Linked DNA regions of Oryza sativa Japonica Group. The protein of the gene in region 1 interacts with the protein of each later gene in a pairwise test. Links are inferred from orthologs where the notes say so. Each region holds a gene or a part of one and is shown in the gene's direction. Other genes may lie near its edges. The genes, in order: probable chromo domain-containing protein LHP1 and histone-binding protein MSI1 homolog.

Region 1 (7,726 bases):
CATCTTTTCTCTTCTTTGTTTTCTTCTTCTGCTGCTCCATGGTTGCTTCTCGATCTGATTTGGTTTGGATCTCCCTTTTTTTTGGATGTGGACGGGGTTGGTGAGGGGTGGAGCAGGTACAAATAGGGTTGGTGGTGATGGGGTGGAGCAGGTACAAGTCACGTGATCTTGTTTTTCTATTTTTGTCGAGCTTTCTTGACTGCCAAGATTCGTTATTTGTTTGGGCTGAGAAAGTTTCATTTGATCCATAGTATCAATAGGCCTTTTAAGAAAATCTTTGTTTATTTTAAAATTTGTGTTGGCCCAAAATGATGTTTTTTTTGGCCCATACGTTATTTTTAGTTTGATTGTACTCCCACTTTGATGTTTGCTTCATTATTAGATTCTGCCGTTGGATGCTAATCCAAGGGCTCAGAAATCTGACAAATTTGGGGCCTGAAAATTTATCGAATGATGTGTAGAGAGACCCATAGTAGATGGGTTTGAAGTGTGATAAAGGATAAATTATTTGATCACGTGGGCTTGAAGAGTGATTAAGGATAAAGTACTGAACGTGCTAGCGTATGGATACCCGGTGCGAGGATGGAATTGAAGGAGGACGATTGCGCTTCGCTTTAAATCTTGTATAGAAATAAATATTTCAAATGTTTAATATTTGCTACATGTTGGATGTTGCTTGTGACCCCACCCTTTCTTGTAACAGTCACGTTTCATCTTTCACTAATAATTAGCTGTAGATATGAGCACATATACCAAGACTAGAAATTAAACTTCGGTGAGAATATTCTATCATTAGAAACCTCACTATTCTATCATTAGAAACCTAACTAATTGAGCTATGCACACTTCACTTCTAAGGCTGAGTTCCCAACTCACTCTCCTTGTTTTTCGTGCGCACGCTTTTCAAACTACTAAACGGTGTATTTTTTTTTCAAATATATATATATATGTCAACATTTGATAGTCACGACTAAGGTATTTGGATGGTATGGGGATCGTTGGTACAGGGCATATATGAGATTGAGGTAAAAGAGATGGAGACAGGGATTTTTATACATGTTCGGGCCCCTCATCTTACAGGTAATAGCCCTACATCCTGTTGGCCGAAGCCGGTGTTGCCCTTTATTCATCTGGATCACACAAATACAATATTTGGGATAATCTATCTATCCGTCATCGACTTGACGGCTAGATAATCAACTCGTAGTCGACGACAGGGTAGTCTTCCTCCTCGAATCAGTACTCGGCGAGATCAGAGACGACGCTGGATCCCTCTTGCCGGCCTCCGTAGGTACCGGATGGGGTATGGCTAGACTAATATCTGATGTCGAGATCTGACGGCGTATTGGCTTGTGGCTTTGTGGCGTCGTAGATTGTGGTGGGTCTGTCCCCTCTTCTCCTAGGGGGCTTGTATTTATACCCACAGATAACCCATTGTCCAAGTAGAACTAGGGAGATAAATATGGATACGATATGAGTAGTCCTTGTCGTTTCCATATAGAACTCTATTCATCATTCCTTATCCGGAACTCCTTCTATATATGAGGTTTGATTCCATATAAGACATGGTATATGGTGGGCTCTGCTGAGCTTAGTCGATTACTATTGGGTATGTGGTATCCATAACCCTGACAATATATATATATATATATATATATATATATATATATATATATATATATATATATATATATATATATATATATATATATATATATATATGTGAAAGTTGCTTGAAAAAAATCATATTGATCCATTTTTAAAAAAAAATTAGCTAATATTTAATTAATTATATTTTAATGGATCGCTCTGTTTTTCATGCGAAAGGGATTTGCTTCCAACAAGAAGTAACAAACACAGCCATATTGATTCTCCTTAATAGTTTTGAGAATTGATATTCTTGCGGTTGTAACTTTTGTCGATAAACATTTGAATATATTAAAATATATACGTCGATTATGTTTTGTTTACTCTCCTCCCGTGATATGCAAGTTAAAAACGTAGAGACTTATTTTTACATAGCTTCGTGCCCTCTTTGGAGTGATATAACGCTATGTCTACTGTTGTGATTGATATATGGAAACACTATGGTTATAAGGATGTACTCCCTCCGTCCAAAAAAAGACAAACCCTGGCTTTCCGTGTCCAATTTTGACTGTCCGTCTTATATGAAATTTTTTTATAATTCGTATTTTCATTGCTGTTAGATGATAAAACATGCTTAATATTTTATGCGTGACTTGTCTTTTTATTTTTTTCATAATTTTTTTAAATAAGACGGACGGTCAAATATTGGGCACGGAAACCAGGGTTTATCTTTTTTTGGACGGAGGGAGTATATGTACCTAATCTATACCTATATAGACCTAATCTAGACCTGTCAATTAACCTCATCAGGGATCAGGGATTTAGATAAACTGGATTGTTCAAGGGTGGTTGGCGGAGCAGTTGAAAGAGGTCTCCTTGGCTTCGCTCGATGATTGATACTTGATAGCTCGTAAGTGATTTGATTTAATGCAATCATAATATAGGAATTTATAGGTCACTTTGGGCTAACCAGCGCATTAGTTGGCATTGTGAGATACCTTTGGCAGGGATGGATTGGTTTCTAAATCTAGTTCTATGAAAAAAAAACTTATTCTTGTTTTATTTTCTCATATAGTTCCCTAAGGCTGAGTTCGGCACTAAGAGTTCCCAACTCTCCTCTTTCATTTTTCGTGTGCACGTTTTTCAAACGGCTAAATGATGTGTTTTATTTGTAAAAAATTTCTATAGGAAAAATGCTTTAAAAATTATATTGATCTATTTTTTAATTTTTTTACTAATACTTAATTAATCACGCGCTAATAAACTACCTCGTTTACCGTGCAAGAGGGGAATGTTCCCAACTATAACGAGCGAATGCAACCTAAGTTGTTTTACTATGCCTTGTCAACATTCAACCCCTCCAATAGACTTTGTGATAGCATCTTCTTTTTTTAGATTTCTAGTTGCCCACAATTATGCTGGATTTTGTAGAAGTACACTACGTACATTTATGTATACTCCCTCCATACTCGTAAAGGAAGTCGTTTTGGACAGCGACACGGTCTCCAAAACACAACTTTGACTTCTTAGTTTCTATAAAAATATTTATTAAAAAGTGATATATGTATACTTTTATAAAAGTATTTTTCAAGACAAATCTATTCATATAATTTTTATATTTTCAAACTAAATAACTTGAGAGTTATTCATGATTTATATTCCCAAGGTTTGATTTAAACATTATTTTAAACAATTTCTTTATGAGTACAGAGGGAGTACACGCTTTACTGAATTATATTATTACAAGTGTGATGAATCCAATCTAAATGGGTAGGATAATAACACCATCGTTTGGGTGAAAACAGTACCAAATCCCAAGTGGTAAATACCATAAAAGGCCCTCCCTTAGTCCCTTATACTTTTTTGTTAAGAAACACGATTAGCACATAGTACAATCCGGAGGGCAAAACGGGAATATAAAAATCGTTCTGTGCGGGCAGCCGCGGCCGGAGCTTTCTTCCCCGTTCCGTGGCCGCTCCACCAAACGGGCCAAAAGGAACCAAAATCAGCAGAAAAAGATCCATCCGAGAAAGAGAGGAGTAGCCATGGCGCGTGGGAAGAATCACCCGGACGGGGAGGAGGAGGAGGCGCCGGCGGCGGCGGGGGAGGAGGAGGCGCCGGTGGAGATGGACGAGGAGGGGGAGATGGAGGAGGAGGAGGAGGAGGAGCAGGGGGAGGGGGAGGGGGAGGAGAGAGACGAAGGGGAGGAGGAGGAGGAGTGGGAGGATGCGGAGGAAGTGGAGGGGGGAGAGGAGAGCGAGCAGGCGGCGGCGGAGGAGGAGGATTCGCCGCTGGTGGTGGTGGAGGCCGAGGCGGCGGCGCCTGTGGTGGATGGCTCCCCGCCGAAGCTGGCGGAGGGGTACTACGAGATCGAGGACATCCGCCGCCGCCGCCTCCGCAAGGGGAAGCTCCAGTACCTTGTCAAATGGTGAGATCGCTTTCGCTTCCTCTCTCTCACGCCCTTCCGTTTTCTCGCGAATCCATGCGCGCTTTCTAGCACGGTCGAAGTTGAAAGGCGTAATGCTGGATTCTAGGATTGGGTTTTCCGATCCCCACTCGTAATCCCTGCACGGTTCTTGCAACAGTGTGAAGGTGTAATGCTGGATTCTTGGATTGGGATTCTCGTAGTCCCTGCACGGGCTCTAGCACTCGGTAGAAGGTGAAGGTCGTAATGCTGGATTCATGGATTGGGTTTGTGTGCTCAGCATCCGTAGCTTTTGGGGTTTAGGTACTGTTTGATTTGCTAATGTGCCTTGGATGATCCACATTTTGGTTTAGGCTCTGATGACCAGATTGCGCTAAGTAGCCAACCATGTAGTTAGAGAGCCTTCACAGCTAGGGACGAAAACGGGTCAGATTTAGACAGATAATAGTTGTACTTTATCGTATTACCATACTTTTTTTGTTGGATTCAGATTCGGCTCTGATGATCTATGGATGCTGATATTGAACGGATTGTTTGGGATGCTATAAATGGCACGGATATGGAACGTAGTTAGGTTGCAAATAGACCAAAGCTCTCTGGTAGTGTGTACATGGTGATATACAAGAAAAAGTAAAGAAGAACATTACTACATTAGTGGCTAGGAATGTACCAATTGAGAAGCAACTATCAGCCCAAGCAGCACAATAAGAGCATCAGCTAGTAGTGCTACTGTGCAACAAAGTAGCATCAGCCAGCAGCAGGTGCTAAACAGCACAATGAAAGCATCGTGCAGGAGCTGCAGGTAGTACCCACTATCCCAGAAGCCAAGCAGCAGACAGTAGACTAGATTAACTTTGAAGCCGTGGGAAGTTGGTCTAGTACCCTAGTTTATCGGATTATCTAAATAGATCCTTGTCGGGTTATCTGCTAAAAAATGTCTGTTAATCCGTATCTGCTGGATTTTGGAATAGCATATCTGCACCTACAACTATTGTCTGAATCCGTATCATCCGATTATATATATAAAAAACCTTTCACCATATCCTTTTCCAAACAGATTTGGAGGCGGATTGGATATATCCAATATACTTCCATCCCACAGCCAAGGCATAGATGCAATTTCAGGGGCATGGCTGCTGAGCTGATAGCCTGTAACACCAGCCTCCCCTACTACACCAAAACAAGAAAACTCCATCCCTTTCCTTTTAATATTCCTATACTGCCAAAAGTGATTCTTGTAATAGCAATGAACCAAATTGGAGCAGCATAAACTGTGCAAACAGGGTTGTGAGAGAGCACATTGTGCTTCTAGGTGAAGCGGTTGAGTGCTGCTGATGGACTCCTGTAGTTGAAAGCATCACTAGCTTACACTCTGAGCTTAGTGGTTTGGAGAATGTGGAATCCATCTGAATCACCAAGGACCACCTTACAAGCTAAATGTTAGTGTTATGTGCTAGTGGCGTCCCAAGGTGGTGAACAGCATAGGGGTTCTCAATGGGAGGGTGGGGCATGGGACCTCGCAGCCCCGGAGCTGTCAGGAAGGATAAGAACAGAGGACTGGAAAGACCAAGAGGAAATAACTTATTGTTTGCCTAAAGTAATTAATCTTTCCATTGTTCCTTTTATAGGAGTCTCACTTAACAAACTCCTAATGAATCTCAAGCTAAGTTATAACAAACAAATCTTTGGCTGCTTCCCGCGCTTGGTTGTAGCTGTGTAGGACAGCCACCTCCACATAACATCTTGGGTGACTTTTATAGCATGCCCTTGTATAATGCTCAAGGCAAGGCTGAGTAGCAGGAACAGCTTTTAATTTGTTGATGCGTTAATAGTATGATGGTGTTTGTCGGTAGCAAGTGCGTGTTGATGTGGACCATGTGGTAAAAGTGCCCAGGTTGAGAATGGCTGTGGACACTCATATTGCCATATTTGGGACAATACACCTCTACGAGTTCGTAAGCTTCCAGATTTAGAGGCAGTAGTGGCTAGAAATCAATCTAGATCCACTACCCACCTCTCCATTGGTTATTTGGCAGCAGGAGCAAGAAACTGGCATTTCCGTTTTACACATGCTCCCTAGTGCACACTGCACATTGCAACTGTTGTGTTTTCTTCATCCTAGCTGCCAATACTGCAACCAACTTACCTCACTGGAGATGATGGATGTATTAACTGCCTTTAGAGCTATGAAGACCAAGAACAGGATTGCGTTCAGAAGAAGCAGCAGTACGGCAGGTACTGGTCAACTTGGTAATGTGTCATGTTCTGAGCTGTGTTCTGTTTACAGGGTACCCTGTAAAAAAACATCTGTGAGACCAGATCGTACTGCAATTTGATTACACCCTCAAATTGATGAACCAAACACTACCTTAGAGCTTAGATATATTCTGAACGCAGCTGATGCTTGTATTTTATTGTTTCTTATATGATTTTTATTCGCTGGCTTGTCTATTGCAGTTTAAACGTTTTTGGCTCACGTGGAAGCTTCTTGTTTTACTCGTTTAGATTTGGTGATAATTCTTGTGTTCCTAACAATTTTATATGATTTGCTAGGCGTGGATGGCCGGAAAGTGCTAACACATGGGAGCCCCTAGAAAACCTGAGTGCCTGCTCTGACATTATTGATGCTTTCGAGATGCGGTATGTACTTGTCACACTTCCGTCTGTAGTTCTATTCACATTTTCAGAAGATAATAAGTAAATAAGATTGATTTGTCCTTGTGGTTGTATGCAATTCAGGTTACAATCTCCAAGGCCCGGTCGGAAGCGTAAGCGGAAGATAACAACTACTCCAGTAGCAGGCTCAAACCCATCTCATGGTAAACGGGGCCGCCCTCGCTTGGATGCTAAGTCCCACACTCGAGCTCCTGCACCAGAACCTAAGCAACTGCCCTGTCGGACAAGTTGTAGGAGAGCGACTAATTGTAGTAGTAAGACAGTTGCAGGGCTTGATGCGTCAGGGAGTGTGGTGAGGAACCAGCTTGCACAGAACATTGTACAGGAGGGTAGTTCCAGTGTGATTTCAAGGACACCATGTCAGGAGCTACCGCTCTCAATTAGGTTGACGGACCAACAAAACGAGCATCACCTTGTGAATGGTTCGTCTAATTCTGAGAACTTAGTGAAGGTACCTCCATCTCAGGGTGGCCAGGTAACTGGTGCCAAGAAGCGTAAATCTGGAAATGTGAGGAGGTTTGAGCAGAATAAACCAACACAAGGACAAGGAGAATGTGGAGCATTAGTGGTGGCTGAGGATGTTGGTTCCACTGAAGGAGAAACTGGCGATAAGAAAAAGACAGAGGGCTGTCCTAACCGAGTTCATATCACCAAGATCATCAAGCCAGTGCGATTTGCAGCAGCTGTGAACAACGATGTGCAGCAAGTTTCAATTACATTCAAAGCACTCAGGTATTTTCTGTAATTTCTTTTCGTAGTTATAGGCCTAAAATTTCTAAATCTCAGACATGTTTTTTTTGCTAGCTGATATTGCTCCCTTTCTGACTACTTTTATTACAAAAAGGAAAGTGACTATATCTAGCAATGAATTATTATTTGGCTACAAATTGAGTGCTTTATGTTTCACTCATTTAGAGATGTCGCAAAAAGAATCCTCTGGTCTCTTCACTAATCAAATAATATATTCTGCATTTTTTTATGACCATTTTTATGTAGTTATTCATATTGTTAGTTTGATATGTTTGAACTGTTTTTCTA
Region 2 (7,719 bases), on another chromosome or scaffold:
TTGGCCTGATTCATTGCTTGTAGTTGTAGTTACATGTGTCAACACTGGGAGACATGGTTTGGCTTAGAGTTAGGTCTCAGGAACATTGCTTGTTTTTCCCATCGAGGGTTTCCCAAAAGCAGAGTGATTATTTGATTAGGTGAGTTGAATCAAATTCAGTGTGCTCCTTGCTAGGGAAAACTGATGTTTTGCATTGTGTCCACAAATCTGATCAAATATTGGCTAGAATCTCTTGTAGCAATTGCAGTTCTGCATGGTTTGATGTATGCACCTCACAGCTAAACACATGCACTCTGTGATGCCTAACCCTTTATAGGTGATGTTCTATAGGTTCAAAGAATATTGACGCCATATTCTTGACATTGGACTACCTGCTAGAATTTTGATTGTACATGCTATCTGGATTATTGTGCCCTAAAATAAGGAACTGGATTATTGCAAGTTGCTGCATTTGTTCACCAGAGATGCATACGCTTTGGCAATGCTGATGTGCTTTGAGAGGTTTCATTACTTGCCTACTTCTAGTATTAAGTTATTAACTAGATCCTCTGGAGAGTTTTGGAGGTTGCCCTTCTGGTAGCCCTTTGTTTGTGTAGGAATGTTTGCCAGGAAGGTAATTGTCCTAATCAGGAATCTGCTAGTGATTGATACTTCACAAATACTTAAGATTAATGCTAAACATGTGCTGTTAATGATGCCTCATCAAATATTCTAGTTGTAAGTTCTGTTTGAAATTATCAACTATTATCATATTCACACCATTACATCCACACTCATTTTAGAGTCAATAATCATGGTAGCATCCTCTTTATGGCATGCCAAATTCTACACTTCCATCTTGAATTTCCTTCCCTAAACATCCATATAAATATATAAACTCACTTCCTCGCTCAGCTGCCCCTCAACTGGTTCAGCACAAAATTTGGTAGACCGATAGATATCTTGGAGTAAGATCCATTTGCCAAAACTCTTGATGCTACTTGTATTGACGAGCCACCTGTCCAGTTCTGTTGCACTTTAAGGTAGGAGCCCTTGTGGTTCTGGATGTGATATTTGCGCCTTGTACTTTGTCTTGCACTGCCATGCTGTTCATCCATCCTATGCATACTTGGAACCATTATTCTAAAACAAGAGTTCAGACAATAGTTGGAATTGTGCTTTGAGTTAGTCACCTGAAATGGCCCTTGGAAAATTCGATGTTTAAGATATTTTTAAAATCATTGAATATGTTGCATTTTCAAATTATACCTGTCAATAATTACTATATATTTTCTGCTCAGCACTCACTAATGTGCATTGACCTATTGGTTCAACCAGATCACTGGCATGCTTTTTCCCTTCATTACCACAATATTACTATGTTTCTTAGATTGACAGATTCCTTTGCATTAATTGGTGGATTTCAGATTTGCTTCTCACTTTTCTGGTGAGAGCAATTTGCCTATCAAAATGTGCAGTATTTTGTTAGACATATGAGCAATGCTAGTCGCAGTGATACAATTTCTGTACCATGGCAGTAGGATTTGCAGGAATTGTCCTGTTCCTTTTCTTTTGCAACTAACCGAAATCCGTACCGCTCTTTTTGTTTACTCTGTAGACTGGGACGATTGCAAGATAGTAATGCAGTTCTCACACATTTTAATGAATACTCTGAACAATGCTTTGCGGAGGTGTCTAATGACTTTGCTGGTAAAACTCGTCTTCTCAAGTCCATGAAGGCTGATCTTGACCATATTTTCCTGAAGTTGAGGTACATTTCTTCCAGGTCTCTTTATCCCAGTGTGCATTCGAATTGGATTTGTACAACAGTTTTCCAGCTGAACAAGCTATATATCTTATGTCTATGTTGTAGAGGCATGAAATCGAGGTTAGCGGCAACATATCCAGATGCTTTTCCTACTGGCGCAATGGCAGAGACGATGGACCAAAGACCGGACCTTGAAAGTCCTCTTGATTAAAACAGTTTATCGTACCCTTTTGGTAATGAGATCTACGGTTGAGTTCTTGTGTTCCGACATCTTGAGAACTCAAGAAGAATGTTGTTCTTTCTGCACTTTTGCTGAAAATGTATCTTTGAGAAACGGCTGCTTCTGTTTATAAAGTTGTAACCTTGTACTCCTATGTTTTTTGTGATATAAATGGATTAGTTGTCAATCAATCTCTCTCGCTTTTGCTTGTGGATCTATGCTCGGTCATAGCTGCTGCATTTCCTTGATTTTTTTTTAAAAATAACTACTTCTATCGGTGCTCCCTCCGTTCCATAAAAATCAAACCAGTCCTGGTTTTTTTTTTGACGGAGAGAGTAAGCTCTAGGGACACAAAATTGCCAAAAAATGAAAAAAAAGATCGAAGTTTGGGGGTAAAAAAAGAACAGATGATGGGAAGAAGGTGATTTGATCGTTTGGGGGCAGATTGTTTTTATGGGACGGAAGAAGTAAGCTCTAGTGACACAACATTGCCTGAAAAAAAAAAGGAAGTTTAGGGGTTAAAAATGAACAGATGCTGGCGATGAAGGATAAAAACAATTTTGATTTGGCCATCTGGGGACAGATTGGCAATCAATGCCTGCCATTCGTCACTGCTGTTGGTGTTGTGCCAAAATTCCAGCAAAAAAAACATGGAAACGGCAGCAAGTGCTGAGCTGGTCATAAATTCATTTACACTTACAGGTGGACCCCCAATATACAGCGAGACCAGCAACCCCCGCCTCTAACTGGGCCTCCCATTGAGCGGCCCAGCCCACCACCGCTAATAAACCCCATTCGCTTCGTCAGGTCAGACTCGTCCCCCCCTCCCTTTTATACCCTCTCGGTCTCTCTCTCCTCTCCTCTCCTTTTTTTTTTTCGCAGTCTCTTCATCCGTCTCGCATCCATTCCCCCGCCTCCCGCCATTTCAACCCGCCCCCAATTCCAAAACCCTCGCCTCCTCCAACAACGCGCCCCCAAACCCTAACCCTAGGAGAGGGCGCGGCGGCGGCGGCGGCGGGGGGCGAGATGCCGAAGGCTACGGCGGCGGAGGAGGAGGAGTTCCGGGCGGAGGTGGAGGAGCGGCTGATCAACGAGGAGTACAAGATCTGGAAGAAGAACACCCCGTTCCTGTACGACCTCGTCATCACCCATGCCCTGGAGTGGCCGTCCCTCACCGTGCAGTGGCTCCCCGACCGCGCTGAGCCCGCTGGGAAGGACCACTCCGTCCAGAAGATGGTGCTCGGCACCCACACCTCCGACAACGAGCCCAACTACCTCATGCTCGCCCAGGTCCAGCTCCCCCTCGACGACGCCGAGGCCGACGCGCGCCACTACGACGACGACCACGCCGAGATCGGGGGCTTCGGCGCCGCCTCCGGCAAGGTTCATCTCTCTCCCCCTCCCCCCCCCTTTTCCCCTCCACTCCCCCCCCCTTTCTCTTCTTATACGCTATTAATTAATTCTCGTCGTTGTTGCTATGCTGTGCTATGGTGAGGCAGTGGGCTCGTGCTGCTCTGTTCGGGGTTAGGATTTCCTTTGTTGATTGTTTTGTAATCTGGTGCTATTGGGTTAGAGGATATTGGTGGTTTAGTCAGGCGAGAGGGGATTTATGTTTTGATCTGCTCCATGGTGGCTAGTTCGGGCGCTAGTTCCTGTTCTGCGGCTGCGAGTGATTTTCTCTCTTTCGAATTATGGACTCTGATACCAGGTGCATGGTTAGGGTTTCAAAGACTTTTGCACGCCTTGCTCTGTTCTGTTCGGGGTTAGAATTTCCTTTGTTAATTGTTTTGTAATTGGTGTTATTGGGTTCGAGGAGAGTGGTGGTTTAGTCAGGCGAGAGGGGATTTATGTTTATCTGCTCCATGGTGGCTAGTTCGGGCACTAGTTATGTTCTGCGGTTGCGAGTGATTTTCTCTCTTTGGAATTATGGACTCTGATACCAGGGCGGTGGTGTTTTGGGTTATAGCAGGCGGCCGGCGATGGTTAGGGTTTCAAAGACTTTTGCAGGTTTAGTTTCGTAATGGGTAAGTATGTCTTGACATATATTTATGAGGGTGAAATGATTTGGAGGAGGATAGCGTACTGCTTTGGCGCGATTTTGCACTATGGCGCACGTGGGTTATTACTTTGTTAGTTTGGCGCTTGTGTGTTATTACTTTATTCGTTTGGCGCTTGCGCATTATTACTTTGTTAGTTTGGCGCTTGTGCATTATTACTTTGTTAGTTTGGCGCTTGCGGGTTAGTCAACCATGCAGATGGAGTAGACTGTACCATTGAATTCCTTGAGGTTGTCTGATCCACCTAACGGAAACAAAGTTTTCATTTATGGTAGTTATGAAACGGTGCTGAATTTGTGTGACATTTGGTATATTCGAAGCATAATGTCGAAGGTATACCCATCTGGTAATTGGAAAAGATTTTATTGATTGAATTCATATATTTGATCCATGTCTTCTTCTTCTTTTTTTTATAAAAAATGCTCGACTTCAGGAATATCCAGAATGGTGATTAATCCTTGTATTTTAAGCCCTTTTTTTATGCAATGTATTTATAATCAAAGATGAAATTTTCTTCAAAGCCCTTTGGGACTGATATTTTCATATTTCAGTTATTTACGTTACCTGTGCAACTATTGGATTGTAGCTCTCGTGGTGAAAAAGCTGCAGTGTTCTCTTTTGGTCCCCTTTTCATTTTCTTATTTGTATTCATGTTTGCTATTTTATTGTTGGTCAGTCTTCTTTTCAGTTTTCTCTTTTTGATTTGTCTCTTGCAGCCTTTTTATAGTGAGAACTGTTTGATCCCCTCTCAGAAATAGTATAGGTCTATCAGGTTCTTTTTGTGACCATGCTTGAATTTGCATTGAGGATTACAACCTTCTAAGTTTGACATAGCCTTTGTGCAATTCTATTATTGCGGAACCTGCACAAATGGTATTATCTCTTTCTGCATAATTGGGCCGTACCATTCAATTTTTGCCACATGTAAGCCCAATTCTAGATGTGAAGCCAGAAATCTCTTCTGTCCCTGGGCCCCCTTGACCTCATTCCCAATCTGGCTTAGCCCAAACATGATAGCGCAGCCAGCCAATAAATCCCTGACCTCCCTGCCATATCTCCATCAAAGCTCTCTAGATTAAACCCTAGAAACCTCAATCCTCTATGTTGGAGTTTGAGAAAGGGAGGGCGAAGATGGCGGCGTTTGAGAAAGTGAGGGCGAAGGTGGCGGCGTTTGAGAAAGGGAGGGCGAAGGTGGCGGCGTTTGAGAAAGGGAGGGCAAAGGTGGCGGCGTTTGAGAAAGGGAGGGCGAAGATGGCGGCGTTTGAGAAAGGGAGGGCGAAGATGGCGGCGTTTGAGAAAGGAAGGGTGAAGAAGGCGAATACGTCAGGGACGAAGATGGCGAATACGTTGGTAGGGATCACGGAGGAGCAGGATGATATGAAGATGAAGATGGCGGCGTTTGAGAAAGGAAGGACGAAGGTGGATAAGTTGGGGACGAAGATGGTGAATATGTCGGTAAGGATCATGGAGGAGCAGGAGGATATGAAGACCAGGGAGGAGCAGGAGATTTACCAGACCTGGCTGTGCAACATTCCGTTCATCTATGACCTTTGCATCATCAACAATTTGAGTGTCCTTTGAGTACCGTGCAGTGGCTTCCTGGTCAGGATCAACATCAGAAGATGGTGCTTGGCACACATCACCCGCAAAACTCTGAAAAATCTCCCAATTACCTAATAATTGCACAAGCTCAACTATCTTGTGATGATGATGAGGACATAGAATACCCTTGTGGTGATGTTGAGGATATGGAATACTGTGAATCTGACGATGCTAACAGTGGCTTGTATGGTGCAGGATCCAGCAAGGTTTGTACCTCTCTTAGGCTTTTGTGATGTACCTCTACACGAATGGAGCTTTGGTTTGTGATTGCTTTGCTATATGTGGTTTGAACTTCCTTCATCAATTATCTGTGCACCCTTTTTTCCTTTTTTTGGTGTGTAATACGGAGTGGAGATTTTGTGGGGTTTTTTTTTCCTACCATGGTTAATTGGATTGAATTGGGATGATACCCTCTTTCTGCTTTTAGATGCACACAAAGTAATTGAGGTGCATTTGTTCTATCAAATTAGGGACAAACACATCTGAATCTAACTAGGATGTTTACTGTTTGTTTGTGATTGGGGATTTAGGTTGTGCCATCTTCGGTGGGTTTATGTGTATGATTTTCAATTGTTTTGTATTGTTAAGGAAAATTTAATTTATCTGTTCTGAGATTCAATCTTCCATACCATTTTGTTATGTTTTCTTCTTTTAAATCATGTATGTCCTTGGAGTTTCTTGCCAACCCAATGACATGCTTCACATGTCATCTATATATGTATCCATTAGAATTTTATGGCCATGTTAGGAACTCTTCATCGTTGAAATAACACATATCATATATTGTGTTGTCTACATCAGTCCACCTGTAGCAATAATAGTTGTTATGTGTGACCAAGAGATTAACTTTTCTGTGAATCTATTATTCTGATCCCCTTTGTTTTTCTTACTACATTGTTTTTGATATTTAATCATTCTATAACCCATCAACAGTAGTATTGCTTTTCCTGTTGCACTCTATATTAGAAGAGCATAATTGTATCATAGAGGTGGAAGTAGGAATATACAACTCTTCTACTGAATTGATATGCCATTTTTACAAGTATCAGTGTGCATGTGCCCTAAAGTTCTGTTAATTACTTCCTTTGTATATTGCGATTATTATTGTTTGTTTGTATCTGCATCACATGAAAATTTATTATATAGCATTGAATATTTATGCAACCTACCTTTTTCTAGGGAGGTGTTACATCCATAGAGTGAAGGTAGCATTAGAATGTTCCCTTCATACTTGGGCTTGCTATTTCTGTATTTTTGAACAAAAATGCTTCTGTGATGGCATACAGATAAATACATTGAATGTATTCTTCTTTCTTTATCCCGTTTCCTTCTTCGCAAATATCACAATTGCATATGGCTTCTTCCTTTTGTAGGTGCAAATAGTTCAACAGATAAATCATGATGGAGAGGTTAATCGAGCTCGGTATATGCCCCAGAATTCATTTATAATTGCTACCAAGACAGTCAGTGCAGAAGTATATGTCTTTGATTATAGCAAGCACCCATCAAAGCCTCCATTGGATGGTGCATGCAATCCTGACTTACGGCTGAAGGGACATAACTCTGAAGGATATGGACTGTCTTGGAGTATATTTAAGGAGGGCCATTTGTTGAGTGGATCTGATGATGCTCAAATTTGCTTATGGGACATCAAAGCAAATAGTAAAAACAAAACCCTTGACGCTCTTCAGATTTTTAAGGTATGTCTCATGATCCTATTCCCATTGGTGTTAGTCAATGTATGGAGAAGCGTTGATTAAAGAATTCTTTGTGGCTTCTGATACCATGTTTCTCTGAAAACATGGGACTTGTTAGGAATGTTATAAATAAATGTGTTTGCCATGTCTGCTTGAAGAAAAGGTGTGTAGAATAGATTCCTGGTGGTATTAGTACATATAAGGTGTGAGCCAAGTATATAATGAATACGAAGTCAAACTACTTTCTTTTGCCTAAATAGTAGATCAATAAGCTAGAGTACTGATAGCTGTGTTGAAATTATCTGTTTAATTTATCTTGTATTACATATCATAATTCACGGTTACTTAAGCATCATAATTGCAATATAGTTTAACACTCTAGTATGTTGACTATGT

The links.
Region 2: the proteins of probable chromo domain-containing protein LHP1 (region 1) and histone-binding protein MSI1 homolog interact in binary tests that used the Arabidopsis thaliana proteins (3 or more experiments, as listed by UniProt). The link is inferred for Oryza sativa Japonica Group from reciprocal best matches to the Arabidopsis thaliana genes TFL2 and MSI1.

What each region holds. Positions count from the first base shown.
Region 1 is NC_089044.1:9,454,804-9,462,529, forward strand, and holds the start of probable chromo domain-containing protein LHP1, read left to right. Parts: upstream 1-3,536; 5' UTR 3,537-3,632; coding exon 3,633-4,015; intron 4,016-6,565; coding exon 6,566-6,652; intron 6,653-6,751; coding exon 6,752-7,420; intron 7,421-7,726.
Region 2 is NC_089037.1:25,488,228-25,495,946, reverse strand, and holds the start of histone-binding protein MSI1 homolog, read left to right. Parts: upstream 1-2,886; 5' UTR 2,887-2,993; coding exon 2,994-3,350; intron 3,351-6,999; coding exon 7,000-7,326; intron 7,327-7,719. Other genes in the region: kxDL motif-containing protein 1, read left to right, coding at 1,598-1,750, 1,853-1,958. UniProt on the Arabidopsis thaliana protein: Core histone-binding subunit that may target chromatin assembly factors, chromatin remodeling factors and histone deacetylases to their histone substrates in a manner that is regulated by nucleosomal DNA.